Linked DNA regions of Tamandua tetradactyla. The protein of the gene in region 1 purifies or fractionates together with the protein of each later gene. This does not show direct contact. Links are inferred from orthologs where the notes say so. Each region holds a gene or a part of one and is shown on either strand. Other genes may lie near its edges.

Evidence for each region. Proteins that work in one complex are often made in the same cells at the same time.
Region 2: the proteins of CUL1 (region 1) and FBXO9 purify together in Homo sapiens (affinity purification with mass spectrometry; 4 studies listed by BioGRID and IntAct, with this or other methods). This does not show direct contact. The link is inferred for Tamandua tetradactyla from reciprocal best matches to the Homo sapiens genes CUL1 and FBXO9.

What each region holds. Positions count from the first base shown.
Region 1 is NC_135327.1:192,784,198-192,792,112, reverse strand, and holds the start of CUL1 (cullin-1), read right to left. Parts: upstream 3,008-7,915; 5' UTR 2,745-3,007; intron 2,690-2,744; exon of another isoform or gene 2,493-2,689; intron 2,393-2,492; exon of another isoform or gene 2,205-2,392; intron 2,025-2,204; exon of another isoform or gene 1,823-2,024; intron 1,433-1,822; exon of another isoform or gene 1,213-1,432; intron 1,194-1,212; exon of another isoform or gene 1,112-1,193; intron 1-1,111. UniProt on the Homo sapiens protein: Core component of multiple cullin-RING-based SCF (SKP1-CUL1-F-box protein) E3 ubiquitin-protein ligase complexes, which mediate the ubiquitination of proteins involved in cell cycle progression, signal transduction and transcription.
Region 2 is NC_135331.1:111,633,686-111,641,396, reverse strand, and holds the start of FBXO9 (F-box only protein 9), read right to left. Parts: upstream 3,013-7,711; 5' UTR 2,998-3,012; coding exon of another isoform or gene 2,620-2,997; coding exon 2,617-2,619; coding exon of another isoform or gene 2,587-2,616; exon of another isoform or gene 2,226-2,586; intron 2,103-2,225; coding exon of another isoform or gene 2,084-2,102; exon of another isoform or gene 1,935-2,083; intron 1-1,934. Other genes in the region: uncharacterized protein LOC143684790, read left to right, coding at 2,587-2,997.

The sequences.
Region 1 (7,915 bases):
TTCTGTGCAAAGGATGCAAAAATAAATACTCCATGCCTTCAAGGAATTCATAGACTGAAAAGTATTGGTGATAATTGACTAAATCAAGACTATGTTAATTATCACTAAGAGATATAGACTAATGAGCTTTAATCTAAGGAAATAGGTGCAGAACTGACTTACTCATTCATCTCAGTCTTCTGATATGCTAAGCATTAGGAATGGGGAGCATGACTACAAGCTGAGAGCATGTGGTTCTGGGAGAGAAAGACTGGGTTTTTAAAATTGGTGAACAAATCCTAGTATAAAGTTTTGGGTTTGCTTGTTTTTTTGTTGTTGTTGTTTGTTTTGGCAAAATAGTTTTTAAAAAGACGATGCTGGTGATGAAAAATAGTTTAACATTTTTAGAAAGTGATTTTTTTTTTTACTCTGAATGTAAACATTTTTAGAAAGTTTGGGCCACCTCTATCAAGTTAATGGGCACTCTTGTGAAACCTCCAAAAATGGGCATAGTAGAGTTAAAGTAAGCCGGTCTTGTGTTTGCATGCTTCGGAATCTGAAATGTGCTGCAACTATTTCTACTTAACATGGAAAGCAACAAACAGACCTTTCAGATAAAAAAAAATCTCCTAATATACAGGAACCTTTTTTTAGTTTCACACCCAAATTTTTAAACAAAAACTGCTGGTTTTGCTTTTTCAGCAAAACCATACATTTTACTACACAATACATAAACTCTCCAGGGTTTCAGAAAATCAGGTAGAGAGTGGTCACAAAACGAAGTGTTAAATTAAAAACTACATTTACATTTTTTTTAATTTAGCGGAGGGTTAAACGTTTAAGTCACAGAAGCGCATGGCTGAAAGTAAAAATGAAATTTAGCTGACACTCCAATAAGTTCATTTCAATAATGTGAACACTTACTCCACTCATAATTGACTATTTGAATGCCACTACAGGAAAAAGCAATTACAAAGAGCAAATAAATACTTAAACAAGTTGACTGCAATTCAATATTTGCACATTTACCACCACTACGAACTAAAAGCAACAGACCGACCCAACCTCAAAAGAATCCAAGTTTTGGCAGAGAACTAGTTACGATGAGAAAACCCTTACTTTGGGGACTAACCTCAAAAAAAATTTGAGAGAGCACTACTCTCTTTAAATTATGCCTGCATTACACAGGTGGCAGCAAGATAGGACTTTCGGGCCTTGGGAATAAATACATACAACTCTCGAGGCTCGGGACCCCAATTCCACACAGCTTCAGCCGAGCGCCCCCCGTTTACCTCCGGGGCCACTCGCCGCGCGCTTCCGCGCGGCGCCGGGGACGCGCCGAGGCTGCAACGCAGGGCCCGGTTGGACTCTTCAGCGTACCGCGAGCGCCGAGAAGCTCCGTCCGGTTCCGCGGCCGCATTCGCATCCCCGTGCGCCCGGCAAGCGCGGTGCCCCCTCCCCCATCCCACTCCCCGCAAGAGAATGGAGCAAATGAGCCATTATTACCCAATAATAGCAACCTCAACCACTCGCAACAATGAAGGCTGGGAACCCTAGAGCCCCGGCGGTGGACAGGGAACCGGAAAGCAAAAGGGCCCTATTTCGCAGCTCTGCTGCTTCCCCGGACAGCCTCTCTGAGCGCAGACGAGTACTTACTTAAGAGCACGAGTAAAGGGTGAAAGTGCAGCATGGGGCAGAAGAGTGATCCAGGAAGGGGACAAGGAAGAAAAGGCAGAAGTCGGAGGGGCTCACGTGGAGACGGGGAGTCACGCAGGGGTTGCCTGCACGAGGGGAGGCGAAGCACCAGACTCCCGAGTAGCCAGGGACCAGTCGCCGCACCTACCTCTCCTACCGCGGCTGGAAAGAGGTCGGCGCGTCAAGGCCGCCTCCTTCAGGCGCGATGAATCGGGCTTTTTCCCAGTGCGTAGGTCCAGGCCTGGCCGCGCAGAGCGCCTCCGGGGCCGCGGCTCGGCCAGGCCCGGGCCAGCCGGAGTGACTCAGGGCTGGAGTCTCTGTTCGCTCCCTCCCCACCCCTCGCGTCCTCAGTCTGCCAGACCCCCAGCCCCGGCTACCATTCCGTCCCGCCGTGGGCTCAGGCCTCGCCCGACGCCTGGGCTCGGCCGCCGCGGCCCCAGTCACTGCGACACCGCGGCTCGAGCCCGGGCCTGCGCCGCCGCCAGTGCTTCCCCTCGGCCCCGCCTGCCGAACCCGCCGCCAACACTCACCCGCATTGCCCCCGGTGTTTTACAGGCTCCGGCAACGTCTTCACCTCCTCGCTGGGCCCGGGGTCCGATTAAATCCCCGTCCCGCCAAGGTCTGGCTGCGTCCCTCAGCCACAGGGGCCGCCCCGCCTGGAGCTGCGTGCGACACCCGCTCCCTCCTCCTTCTCCTCCTCCCCTGCCCGCCGGTCCGTCCCTCCTCCTGCCGCTGCCGCCGTCGCGGCTGCCGCTAGCACCACGCAACCTCCGCCCTCTCGCCTTTACTCCCTCGGCTCCCCGCCCTCCCCGCCTCACCGGCTTAGGCTACCGGGTGGGAGAAGCTGTTGGGGGAGGGCCGAAACGCTCCGCCATCGGCGTCCGGGATGGGGGAGCTGGGAAACCGCCGCCGCCATCTCCCCACAAGCGGGAGGCGCGGGAGGGGCCCGGAAACGTCCAACTCGTCCTGGTCCTTTCCCCTCAGAGCCTCAGATAGAGGGTCACTGCCTCCAAGAGTCAAACCCCCCTCCCCCAATCTGCAGAGGCCCCGCTCGCATTAGTTATTTCTACCTGAAAGCCCATTGCCTTTTCTGCGTGAACACGCGTCGCCATCCCCAGCCGAGCGCACGGGATCCTCCTCCAGGTTTTACGGACTCCCTCTCCTTAGGGCGGCCTCTAAAGAACTGCGTTCCCGCCACTTCATACCTAACGAGGAGGGTTAACCTTTATAAGTTGGTGGCACTAGCCTCTGGAGAAACTGCCCTCAAAGCACCCTGAAGGAGAGGATGTTGCACCTCCTCCTGCCCCCTCTCCTGTGTGCAGTGTACACACAACAGACACACACACACACCCCGTAAGCTAACACGGAACACAACTACACCCAGTTACTAATGCCTCGTCGGACAGGGAGATAAACCAAAAGTAATATCCCCGACTGGCTGATAAGAAAGCCCAGGATGGGAAAGTGGCCCTGAAAATCAGGTGCAGACTTTAGAGTAAAATGTTGTAGATTCTCTACCCTTTACACCTGCAGGCTTTAGGAATAAGTATCTGGAAACCTGAGATTATCACCATCTCTTAAAGTGTTTAAAAAAATAAAATCCAACTAGGCTCCCCTTATCAAATCCTTTAACTAACTCATTTTGGGCAAATTTTGGCAATGATTCATTTATCCTTGTAAAGATGAACCAAGAATAGATAATTTAAGAATTTGGTATGAGATGTGACTAAAATAGTTTTAACTGAAGTCTGAAGTAGTTAGACCCATTAATTTGAAAATTAACCGGACATAATGATCAACTTGAAATATTCAAATTAAATACAAACTTTGGTAGCACAGATAGCCACCACCCTACTTCCTGTGGCGGCAGAGGCTGGAGAAAGTGGGCTCTTGCTGCACACTTGGTTACCTATCAGCTAACCAAAAGAAATGAAGAATGTAACTTTCTTTGCTCAGAACTAAAGCACTACAGAGCTTCTAGTACCACCTTGGGCAGAAATCCTCTGCACAATGCAGAGGGCGTCCCCAAAGAGCTGCACACATTAGAAACTTCCCAAGTAGTTTCCCTCATAAGCAATTTCCCACCAATTTATTTGGTTCTTCCTATTGAAATGCAGTCTTTTCTCAACATCTGTTAAGTATCTTTAGAAGTATTGTGCTTATATATATTTGTCATAAAAATATGTAATTCTCCATTTTGCGCAGGGGGTTAAAAAAACTTGTTGGGTTCATATCCTACCCTTCTAAATAACAAGTTGAAGGAAAACTTTTTTTTTTTTTTTGGCACGGGCAGGCTCCAGGAATCGAACAAGGGTCTCCAGCTGGGCAGGTGAGAACTCTTGCCACTGAGTTGGTCAGCCTTCATTTTAATGTTAGCTTCCTTCACCCTCTATTTTTCCTCAATGGAAGTATTTAGTCCACCTATACTACCTTCTCCACTTCTTATTGCTTCCTGTACTGATCTTAACCTCCTTCTGCCCTTCACTCATTAGAATTCCATCAATTTTTATGTCTGCTTCACAACCAGGTTACATATACAACCACCTTCATTCTGGGCATGTAACCCTTCTTCCCACCTAACTGATCAAGGCCATTTACCCTATTTCCACTTAAAATATCCTTCCTCCATGTTTCTTCCCCCTCTCAGCGAAATTGTTGTCCCTCTTTCAGGTGACCCAAAGTTTGGAGGGATAATTAATTTGATAGATATCAATCAAGATTCGAAAGAGTCTCAAAAAACTAGACTAGAATATTAAACTAAAACCAGTGAAATAAAATATAATTTCACAAATCTAAAACAATATGACATGACTGAAAAAGCCTAAGTTTTAGATCTAGGCAGACGTTGGGTTACATCTAGACTCAGTATCTTTTGCTCTAATTAAGCCATCTGTTAAATGGGGATAGAAATACTACCTCATAAGATTTTTATGAAGATTAATTCCTTTAAAATTCCAGCATAATTCCTGAAACATTCTCTGAGTGTTAGTTTACTTCCTTCACCTCATCTTCCACAAAGTAGAAGTCCACTGATTTCTCTATTTTTGTTGATGATACTAACATTTTTTGTCACATAGGCCTGGAAACTGAAAATACTGACCCATGTAGCTTGCATCTCAGAGCTAGCCATCATCCTAGGTAAATATTTTCTCTGTTTTGGCTCTGTGTATGGAAGTAGGTATTATCATCATTACAACCACTCCCCAATGGAAACACCTGGGGAGTAGAGATATTAGGCAATTTACTTCAAATCACTCAGTTTGATCAGTGGTGTAACCTCAACCAGAGACACCCAAGTCCATGTATATTCACTACTACACTGTGCTATTTCTCACATCTATACTATTTCTTTGAACTTCTAAATGGTTTTCCTAGTTCTTGTCTCTTCCCCATCCTTCTTGCCTGTGTAGTGACTGTAGGTTATTCCTTATAAACTGATACCTTCATCATTGTACTTTTGTCCTTTCAAACTTTTCAGTGACTCCTCATAGTTTATAAGGCTCAGTCTAAACTTTGACTTGGTACTTAAAGTTTACCATAAACTTATCCCAATTTACTTTTCCAAATTTATTTCCAGCCACTTCCAAAAAGGAACTCTCAACTCTATCCAATTCTGTTGGGCCTACTCATTGACCCACAAATGTCAGTCAGCTTTGAATCACCACTTAAAAATGCTTATTTCCATTTGTTTCTTGTACAGAAATAGTTCCCTCCTCCTTCCTATGTTTCCAAGTCATGCTCACTTTTCAAGATCCAGCTGCCCTTTCTTTCCCTCCCAGGAAGACTACCTTGTACCTTCTACCAAGCATCTTGTAATCTCTCCCTATTTCCCAACTTCTCACATGTGCTTTTAAAGCTATCTAGTCTGTGCAAAGAAGATGCAAAATGTTTGTTTGCTAATCAATTGAAAGGGTATTGTGTCATTTGATTAGCTTTATGAACCAGAAATGGGTAAGGAACTAGACATCCAGTACAAAGTAAATTGACTTTTGATGGTTCCCAAACCTGATTTGCTTGAGAATCACATTGGGACTTAAATACTAATTCAGGGTTCCTGTCCAGCAAAATTGGGTGGGGAGGAAGAGGGAGAAAATTTGAAAGTACCAGAGTTTATATTCTGAGGTCACTATGTACTACTTGGGTAAATTTGAGCAAATTACTTAATTTCTCTGTGTCTCAATTTCTTCATCTATCATGACAATAAGTATATCTCATATAGAGTTGTTGTAAGTTAAACACTTAATAAATACCTGTGATGATGACTATTATAATGATTATATATCACCCCAATGCCAATCCGGTGGTCTGAGTTTGGGAATCATTTATTTAATGAACCAGTCTTCTTTCAAATGTTATGACCTTAAAACTTCCAGTATTACACATATGACATATTGCAATAAATCTTATTTGTCTTAGAATACTGTAATTATTTTAAGGAAGAGGAGCCAAGTAAATTAGATTTTTCAATTAAATTTGTTTATTTAATTCAAATCACGAAATATACATTATTCATGATTTCATGAAAAACTAGTTCCTCTTATAAAAATAACTGCAAATATGCTATAAACTAGACAGAGTAATTCAAACCAGGTTAGTTCAAAGGAAGCACAAAAAAGAAGTAATAACATGATTTCTCAACTTAGGACAAAGAGTCATAATTCTTTTTGAAGAAGGTATTTAAATCCTTTAATTCATCAGAAAAAAATTCATAGTTCATTTTTGTCTATCTAATGACAGACAGGATTTTAATCTTATTTAGATGAAGCTAGATGTACAATATGAAGCAGAAATTTACCTACCCAAGACACAAACTATGAATGGGGAACACAGGATGGTTAGAGCCTCCATCTCAACTCTTGACTTATAAATGGCCTTTACACAGAAAGTGTGACTGCACTACACAAAAGGTCTGGTTTTAGTGCCTGGAATTCCATCAAAGGTTCTTAAGTATCCTCTCTTAAAGATTTAAATAGCTCTGGAGAGAGCTTGATAGTCATCCATTCATTAGCATTGACTAGTTTAATCAGGTTGTTTTCTTTCTGACACAGATCAGTAGCATCTAAAGAAAGGGAAGTTTTGGACAAATCAAGCTTGGGTGCAAATTGTGCACATCAGCTGGAGGCCTTGGGACCAGAGATCCTGGGGAGAGGAGTGTTAAGGAATGGAAGGAAATGCAAGACAGGAGATGGGAGGATTTGAAAATCTAATGTTTCCAATTTCAGATTTTGCATATTGTCTGTCCTAGATCTCTTGTTTGTGAATCTAGAAGTTAGAAAATACTGCTATAAGATAATTATTAGTTAAATAGGCTTTTGAGGTCTGACCTGGGACTAAACACCATCATAGCATTTATTAAGTTTGGCCATATGAAATTACCACTAATTTGCAAATGACATTAGAAAATTATACTGAGTTCAGGAAAATTGACATAAAATTAGTTCTTCCTAGAAGCTTTCTATGGCCCTCCATGCTTCGACCCACCCCTACCCCTGGATTAGGTACCTTTCTTGTGTAATTCTTTTGTATGTACTTAATCTTATTAAAGATTTTGTAGTATTGCATTTTAGTTTTTTTTCCCCTTCTATATCTCCCTTTCCCTCCAGATTGTGAATTCCTTGAATTCTGGTACTGTATCTTTTATTACTCTATCTACAGTATGTAGCTTAGTGCCTGGTACATAGTATACTGAAAGAGTGGTTGAAACACAACTCGTGCATAAATTGGAATTGTTTGTACTCTGAATCCTGGTCACTTCACTTTCCTACTCCCACAAGACCTTTAATAATTCCTTGTTTCCTATCCAAAGAATTACAAGCACTTCTTTCTCAGTATTGAAACGTCTTCTGCACTTTGGCTCCAATAGATCAATCCATACTATCACCTGCTGGTTTCCTATACATATCGTGCTAGACCCAAACTGGACTCCTTGTGAAATCAAATAGGCCCCATGCATTTCATCATCCACCAATACCTTCCATATGAAATGTTCTTCTCCAATTGCTGCAACTCCAAATACAATCCATTATTCTAGGCCTACTTTAAAAGCAATCTCTTTAGTGAAACCTTCCCTCTCCTCTACTAGATGTGAATTCCACCCCTCCCTTCACAAGGGGTAAGCTCCTTAAAGATGTTCTTAAACAAGCTTATATCTCTAGAGTATTTAGCAAGATACACTGGACATAGTAAATGGCCCTTTATTTCTCTAAAAAGTTACAGTCATTGCTTCAACTTTCCTACCTCC
Region 2 (7,711 bases), on another chromosome or scaffold:
AGAAATGTGCAATTAAGGAAATTACTTTAAAGACAGTCATAAATACAATAATAAAACCTATTTAACTTTACCAGTTTCAAAGACGCTAAGTATTACTATTGCAAATTTCAGTTTGAGTTATTTCCTGGGCAAAAATGTTCACATTAGTGCAAATTTTTTAACACGCAACCACATATACTTGTACTACTCTACAACTCAGCATAAATAAGCCTTGATTCCTATCTTATCTCTGGCTACCAGACTTAAAACAGAGGCGGTACCTGCAAGACTTGAAATAGTTACCATAACTAGTGTACAGTGCTTGGCACACTATCAAGGTTAAACTGGTGAATAAATAAATGAATCACCAAGAAACTTTCAGGAAACTGAGCTGAACAGAACATTTAAACACTTAAAATACAGTCAAATACATTTTTTTTTCCTGAGGCTCTTTAAGCAGGGAACTTTTACAAAGAAAAAAATAAAGAATATTACTGGTAGTAAAAACATAATAAAGAACTTATGGAGCCCATTGACAAGTATATTTCTCTTCTCAAAAAAAAAAAAAAACAACAACTTTATTTACTGTTATTTATAAGTACAGCTAATGGGAGAAGACCTGAATTTCCTACGATAACTTTCAAGGCTCTTAGAGCTTTTCCTAACTCTTTGCCCAGCAGTCATACTAAAGCGCCTTAGTTTGAAGAGCTTCCCATGCTCTCCACATTGTGGGCTCTTGCATGGGTTGCTCTCTCCATCCAGAATGCCTTATCCCTCCTCTCATTTGGTTGCATCTATTCATCCTTCAAGATTTAGCTCAGGTCAGGAATCATCCAGTAGGAAGCATTTTCTAATCCTCCAAATTGCTTCTTTTGTGTTCCCCTAACACTTGGTCTTACTTTGTATCACAACATTTATGACTGTACTAAGATTAATTTTGTCTCCTCTGTGAGAGTTACTGTACCAAGAGCAGAGATCAGGACTTATTCATTTTGTAACTGGAGAGCCAAACACACTGCTTGGTTCACAGTAAATGCCTGACTAGGCCTCAGTTGTCTCACCTGTAAAGAGAATTTGGATTTGGTGATCTCCGAGATCTCTTCTCATATGTGATATTCTAAAGTTTACCACAAATCATTTTACAGATTTCGATTATATTGAAGACTGAGTACCATACCAGGGTCTAGTACTGTACCAAGCTATAGGGATAAAAAAAAATCTGGTTGAAGAAACAAATAAAATGCTATATGAATACAATGCATGTCTCATAGATGTATGAAATGAAGAAGGAAGTCTATAATATAGGTAGCATCGTTCTTCCCCCGAGTTTCTGTGTCAGAATTCTAATCCGTTACTACTTTTACTTTTATCCTAGCCATTTAAATATTATCACAAAAACACCAAGAAACTATCAAACTTGAGGATTTTTAGATTTTGTCAAATCAAATACCACTTGAAGTAAGTAGGTCTTCAGTGGCGACCCAGAGATTTTTACTTTATTTTTCATTATCAAGTTTGAACTAAACACATCTCACTTGAGTAGCTCATGTTCTTTTGAGTAACTCATGTATTCATCAGTTTGTTTACTCCTGTTCCACAGATAAGATTATTGTGATATAAAGAATAAGAGTGCTTAATTCTGGTGAACAGAAGCTCTTCTGAAAGTGAACTACTTCTGAAAGTTTAGGGGCAAGACTAATGAGTGCTTTTTCTGCTATTCTCCAGGTTAATTTAATAATAACAACAAACCCTCAGTCAACTATTCATTTATTCAATAATTACTTGAGTATCTACTATGAACTAAGTAGTTGGGCATCATCTCATCCTTAATACTCAAACTTGGCCAAAGATTAGTTTCTCGGGTGGACAATTTATTGGAAACCAATGCGAGGCTTTCACTTGCACAAATACGGCTGCATAGGGCAGCGACTACATATTCCAGCATGCAACAGTCTCGTGGAATTTGCTCTGTCAAACTCCGGAGATTAGCTCAGTATCTTCAATTGGACGGCGCTGACGCTGCTCTGGCCCTCACGGCTGTTGGAGAAGGTTCCTTCAACTCCAAGCTGCCAGGACTGCCTGCCAACACCTCCCCGCCACGGCAATGACGCCTCACAGGGCAGGTGCGTCCTAAACGCAGGAATCCTTACAGAGCCCTACACCCTCTGTGGGTATGACTTTCCGGGGGGGGGGGGGGGGGCAATCAACAAGTGTCTCTGCTAGCCAAGATTCTTTCCCGATTTTAGATGCTGCGACGGCTGACCTTAATCTTGGCTCACTGCTCTTGATAAAATCCCTTGACAGGACGAGGGTGGTTCAATGCCCTCAGTGTACCGAGAAGAGGCATATTTCTTAGCTGTTTTGCCCCGCTACCCCCCTCCCCTCACATTGAGTCCCGGCTGAAGGGTTCAGCAAGAATGAACCTAGGGGAGTCGACAGAGCTGTGCACCGCCTCTAGGGTCAGAGATCATTGCACTGGGAGGCCGTCGTGCAGCTCCCACTCCTCCCAGTAGTCCCTTCATCCTCCCTAGGGACTCCCCCTGGCCTGGCCTCTCGCACAACCATCACCCCCCCCACCCACCCACACACGCACACACACCGCACCCAATGGGTCCCCGAGCCCGTTCCCCAGTTTACCATGCTGGCGTGCGCAGACGGCCGCGGTCCAGAGGCTCTGTGCGCCCCCCTCTGCACCACACCCCCTGGGGAGGGGTGCTAGATGTCTACTTCTGCCTGTTTGCTGCAGCAGGGCTTAGCAGAGTTCTCGGTCGGAGAAGCGCACCAGGCAGCGGCAGTAACTGCGGGCCCGGCGTACGGCAGCCATCTTCGCGGGGCAGGGGGCCAGATCGGGGCACGCTGAAGCGGCGACGGCGGCCGGGGGCTGGAGGAGCAGAGGTGCGCCAGCTGCCAGCCGAAGCGGAGGACTGTGCGAGCACTGGCGCGTCCGCCCCGCTGGAGACCCCGGACACCGCCGCGGAGTTGCCCCCTAGGCTGCGGAAACCTGCACTGGAGCAGTGAGCATGCGCAATGCCGCCGTCGCCGCTGGTCCGGCGAGCTCGGCCGGGATGCTTGGCCCTGAGTGCGCCACTGCGCCGCCTGGAGGTTTGCGGATGGGTCTACTGTGTGCGCAAGCCAGTCCTCGGGCGAGGGCACAAATTAGCCCAACCTCAGTCCACGCATTTGGTTCAGTGGGCACGCATACAGACTTGAACAGGCATTATCTCTAAAATATTGTAACCCAAATTTTGGGCTGAGACCCAGCCGGCTGTCAACTGCACTAAAGGGCATCGAAGTGGGTGCTTCGGACGGTCACCACACAGTCCTCGGGAAATCTGGCTAAAGTCCAGCGCCAGAAATGCCGCGAAACAGTGAGACTTCGCAATAGTGGCAAACTGTTATAAACAAACTTTTAAAGAGCACACATAGGTCTGGAGGTTGAGGAAAAGATGAGCTTAGGAGAGGAGCGAGCAGAGGCAATGGACAACTCAGTTCAACACGAAGATTGTCTCACTACAAATCCCATCGTGCAACGGTGGGGGGACGGTACAGTTCCCAGGCCCTGACAGTGGAATCCTGCGGTGACTTCGTCCGCGTGGCATTCAGGGATTTGTAGTCTCCTTGTCTGCGATGCGCGCGGGAGCTCACGCAATGTCCTCGCTCCACCTCTTAAAGTGCAAACTCCTGATTTAAGGCTATATTTGTCAGACTTCATTTTATTTTTCAGACCATGTTTTATTAAAAGTTTAAAAAAATTAACGTAAAGTTTGAGTGTGTTCTATGAAAACCCATAGTCTTTATAGTTTTTACTTACATCCAGCAAACACCGAGTTTTTAAAATTTCTCCTCGATGCCTGGGGCTAATAGTTATCAAGATTCCAAGACATTGAAGGAACTCATAGCGTTTAAAATTACTAATCCCTTTGCGAAGAAATGGAGGCAAAAAAAAGTTGAGAGGAGAATACTGAACTAAAATAAGGAAGACATAAGTGCCGTGTCTTAATGTTAGGATCCACCCTTCGGATGGGTGAGTTTTTATTTACACTGTACATCTATAAAAAGTATCTTTACGTTTAATCGAGGCCAAAAACTTAATAGATTTTAGTTTTAAAGGACACTCCAGAGCTGAGGATTCTTAAAACTGACATTCCTCCCAATGATTTCTTTAAAATTGGATAATGACATTTAAATTGAAGAAAAGGGTTTGATATAAGGATTTATAACAGAAGAAAATAAAAAAATGTGACATATTGGAAAGGTCAGTTTTGCACATGAAGAATGAAGTATTGAAATATTTTCAGAACTAGTCTATTTCGTTAAATCTGTTGAATATTACCTTAAGATATCCTGGTCAGTTAGCATGGATGATTTTTATTATCCTAGAAAGCAATTAAATAATGCTTAATAAAATAATTAATAGTTGTAAAGATAAGGTGAACAAATATTTTATTCAATAGCTGTTATGCTTCACAGCTACTAATTTTGTAATTTAGATCAGTTCTTGTATCCACTGGACCTCTTTATAGGGTTATATTATGTCATCATATATATTTACAGTTTTAATTTTCCTGAGTCTAGAACTTCTGTCCTAAGCCACGTACTATGTCAGGGGATCCTTGCTAAAAGTAGACCATGATGGTCCTTCTGTTGCTTGGACATCTTAATGTCACTAAGTAAAACTGAGGATTTTAGTTACTTTAAAAATCTCCTTTCGTGAGAGTATTATTAGACATATACCTTAAGAATTTGGGGATGATTTCTTAGGCTTCCTCTTGTCTCCCTGCCTTTAAATTATTAATGATTTTCAATTTATGGCAAGGATGTTTTATAGGTAAACTAGTAGATAGATGTTCTATATTTGCTAAGGGGCTAGATGACCCTTTCATATTTGGGAAAGAATGTCTGAAGAAGTGTGATTGTAATGGTCGAGAAGTGTTGGTGGAATCCCTTGGAGGGATGGGAGAAAAAAATATGGAGCTATTGGGCTTTACCACCAGGGAAGCTGCTGTTGCTGTGTCAAACATTGGGGACACCCAGGTCAATGGGCCAGGACCTTGATCTTGAAGCTTGCTCTTCAGAAGCTTGTGTATGTGGCAGAGAAGCTTGACCTACCTATGGGTATAACTGGGAGTTGCTTCTGGAGGACCCAAGTTTTGTTGCTCAGGTGTGGCCTCTCTGTTTCGGGGCCCAACTCTGTAGGTGAGTTTATTGTGCTTCCCCCTACATGGGGCATGGCATCTGGGAGTGAGGGTCTCCCTGGTGGCATGGGGGTTTCTCTTGGGGATGGGCCTGGCCCTGGCACCATGGGATCAGTGGTGCCGTCCTGGCCAGGTAGGGGCCGAGGGAGTGTGGCCGATAGAGTATCAGTGGCTCAGGGAGTTTGGGTGGAGTCGAGGGGCTCCTCTAGAAGTCACTCTTGCATAGGCTTCAGTTAAACATTGCTACCTATCATAGCTTGCCAAACCCTAACCAAAACCATTCCTGCCAATCCTAAAGAACACCTATGGCATTATATAAGATTCTATACTGGTTCCAAGCACTCGGGTAGCTTTCCAGAAATCTGCAACCTCCAGATGAGACCCTGGGCCAGATAATGCAGAGGGACCAGCCTCTCTACAACATCAACTAGTTCCATCCTCCTATCCCATATTATCAACAGCCCCATCCACCATGTGTGTGTGTGAGGGGAGGGGTGGGGCGGGGTAGAATGGGCATAGCCCTGATACCCAGGGGAGTGGGAGAGGGATCAAGAATGATGGTGGGGTTGTACAGGGATGGTGGGGTTTGGCAGATGAGTTGATTGCTGAATCATTGTATTGATGTTTCTTTTGGTTTCTGGTATCTTGGAGCAGCTAGAAGTTAAGACCTAAAATTGTGGAGTTGTGACCATGCCAGACTCTGAAATCTGTTCTGTGACTGATTGTTGTGATATGCTTTGAAATCTATTGATTTTTTGTATAAATGTTGCTGTGGTAGTTAGGTTCAGGTATCAAATTGGCCAGATGAAGGAAGCTACCTAGTTCTGTTGCTGTGGACATGAGCCAATGGCATGTGAACCTCATCTGTTGCTGATTACATCTGCAGTCAGCTAGGAGGCTTGTCTGCTGTAATGAATGATGTTTGATTTAATTGGCTGGAAGCTTAAATGAGAGAGGTCAATAGCACAGCCAAAGCAGCTCAGCATACCTCATCTCAGCACTCACAGCTCACAGCCAAGCCTTTTTAGATGCAGAAAGGATTCACTCCAGGGAAAGTTGTTGGAATCCAGAGGCCTGGAGAGAAGGCCAGCAGAGATTGCCCTGTGCCTTCCCATGTAAGAAAGAACCTCAGTTGAAAGCTGCCTTTCCTCTGAAGAACTATACATTAACAAAATAAATCCCTTTTATTGAAAACCAGTCTTTCATTGCATTCCAGAAGCTAGCAAACTAGAACAGTTGCTTTACACAAAGAAGAAAAAAATAAGTCAATTTTGATGATAAATGCACAGCAATATGATATTGTGAACCATTCATTGTACGCTTTGGATGATACATGGTATGTGAATATACAAAATATATCAGTTAAAAAAGAAAGAAAGAAGTGTGATTGTCCCATATCTTGTAGGTTTCTTCAACAGGACCAAGGAGAAAGAGGGATTTAGATTCTCCCTGGGGAGGGGGAGAGTCTCCAGTTAAAATTCCAAAGCAAAAATAATGAGAAAATTGATATTGTGATGTATTGGGAAGTTAAACTTACAGAAAGAGCCACAATGTGGCAGAGGATTGCTACCTTGTTAATTAAAATTGTGTTGCTTGTGGCAGTGGTTCCCAACCTGTATTTCCCTGACCAGCAGTATCTGTACGGGGAAACTCTAAGGGTGGGGCCCAGGAATCCAAGCTCTAACAAGCTATCCAGGTGATTGGGTTGCCTTCTGCTAGATTTTGAGAACCACTGGTTTAGGACAATTATGTAAATTTAAATCTCAGACCTCAAAGCAGTTTTTTTCCAGGCAATCCTTACATGGATGATTTAAGGTAATGTCTAGCATGTCTTGATGACATAAAGGAAAGTGTTTAAAAAGTAGATGGTGTTACATTTCTGATACCTAGATACACACTGAAAGAAAATTGTTGTGTAGAGGATACTTAGTTTCTCACCTGGTTAACAATCCAGTCTTCCAATTCTTTCAATCCCAAATTGCTAACAATATAAAAGCTCTTAAAAGTGCAAATGAATGCTGCTACCAGCTAATCGGTTGCCTTTTTTAAAATCAGGAAAACGTTTTCACCTTGATTACCTTCAGTTCAATGTTCTCAGAACATGCATCAACAGCCTCCATTTCTAAACCCTGCTATTTGATGCAACCGACTGCAGCAAGGGTGGCATTTGGAGTGGGAGGTGGCATTCGTGATCCGCTCGCAGCGGGGATCCCGGGTGGGGTCTAGCCCTTTGCAGAGAGAGGAGCGGAGCGGCTCGGCGCCCTCTGGGCGGCCTGGACGCGATGCAAGGACGCGCAGAGCCAGAGAGGGGAGCTGCAGGGTAACTTTTCCCAGGGAAAGCAGTCGGTCGTCCCCACTAGAAGCCACCCAGCCTTTTGTTTGTTTTCCTGCCGGAGGCTGGAAAGCAGCCGGGTTCCTGCTGCACCACCATGCGCCGCACGGCCCGTGCGATTCTCCGGACCTCCAGGGGGTCCCTGCATGGACCTCTCGGCCTCTCTTAGCAGGCATCACCCGGGTTTCCAGTTCCGGAGCCGGCT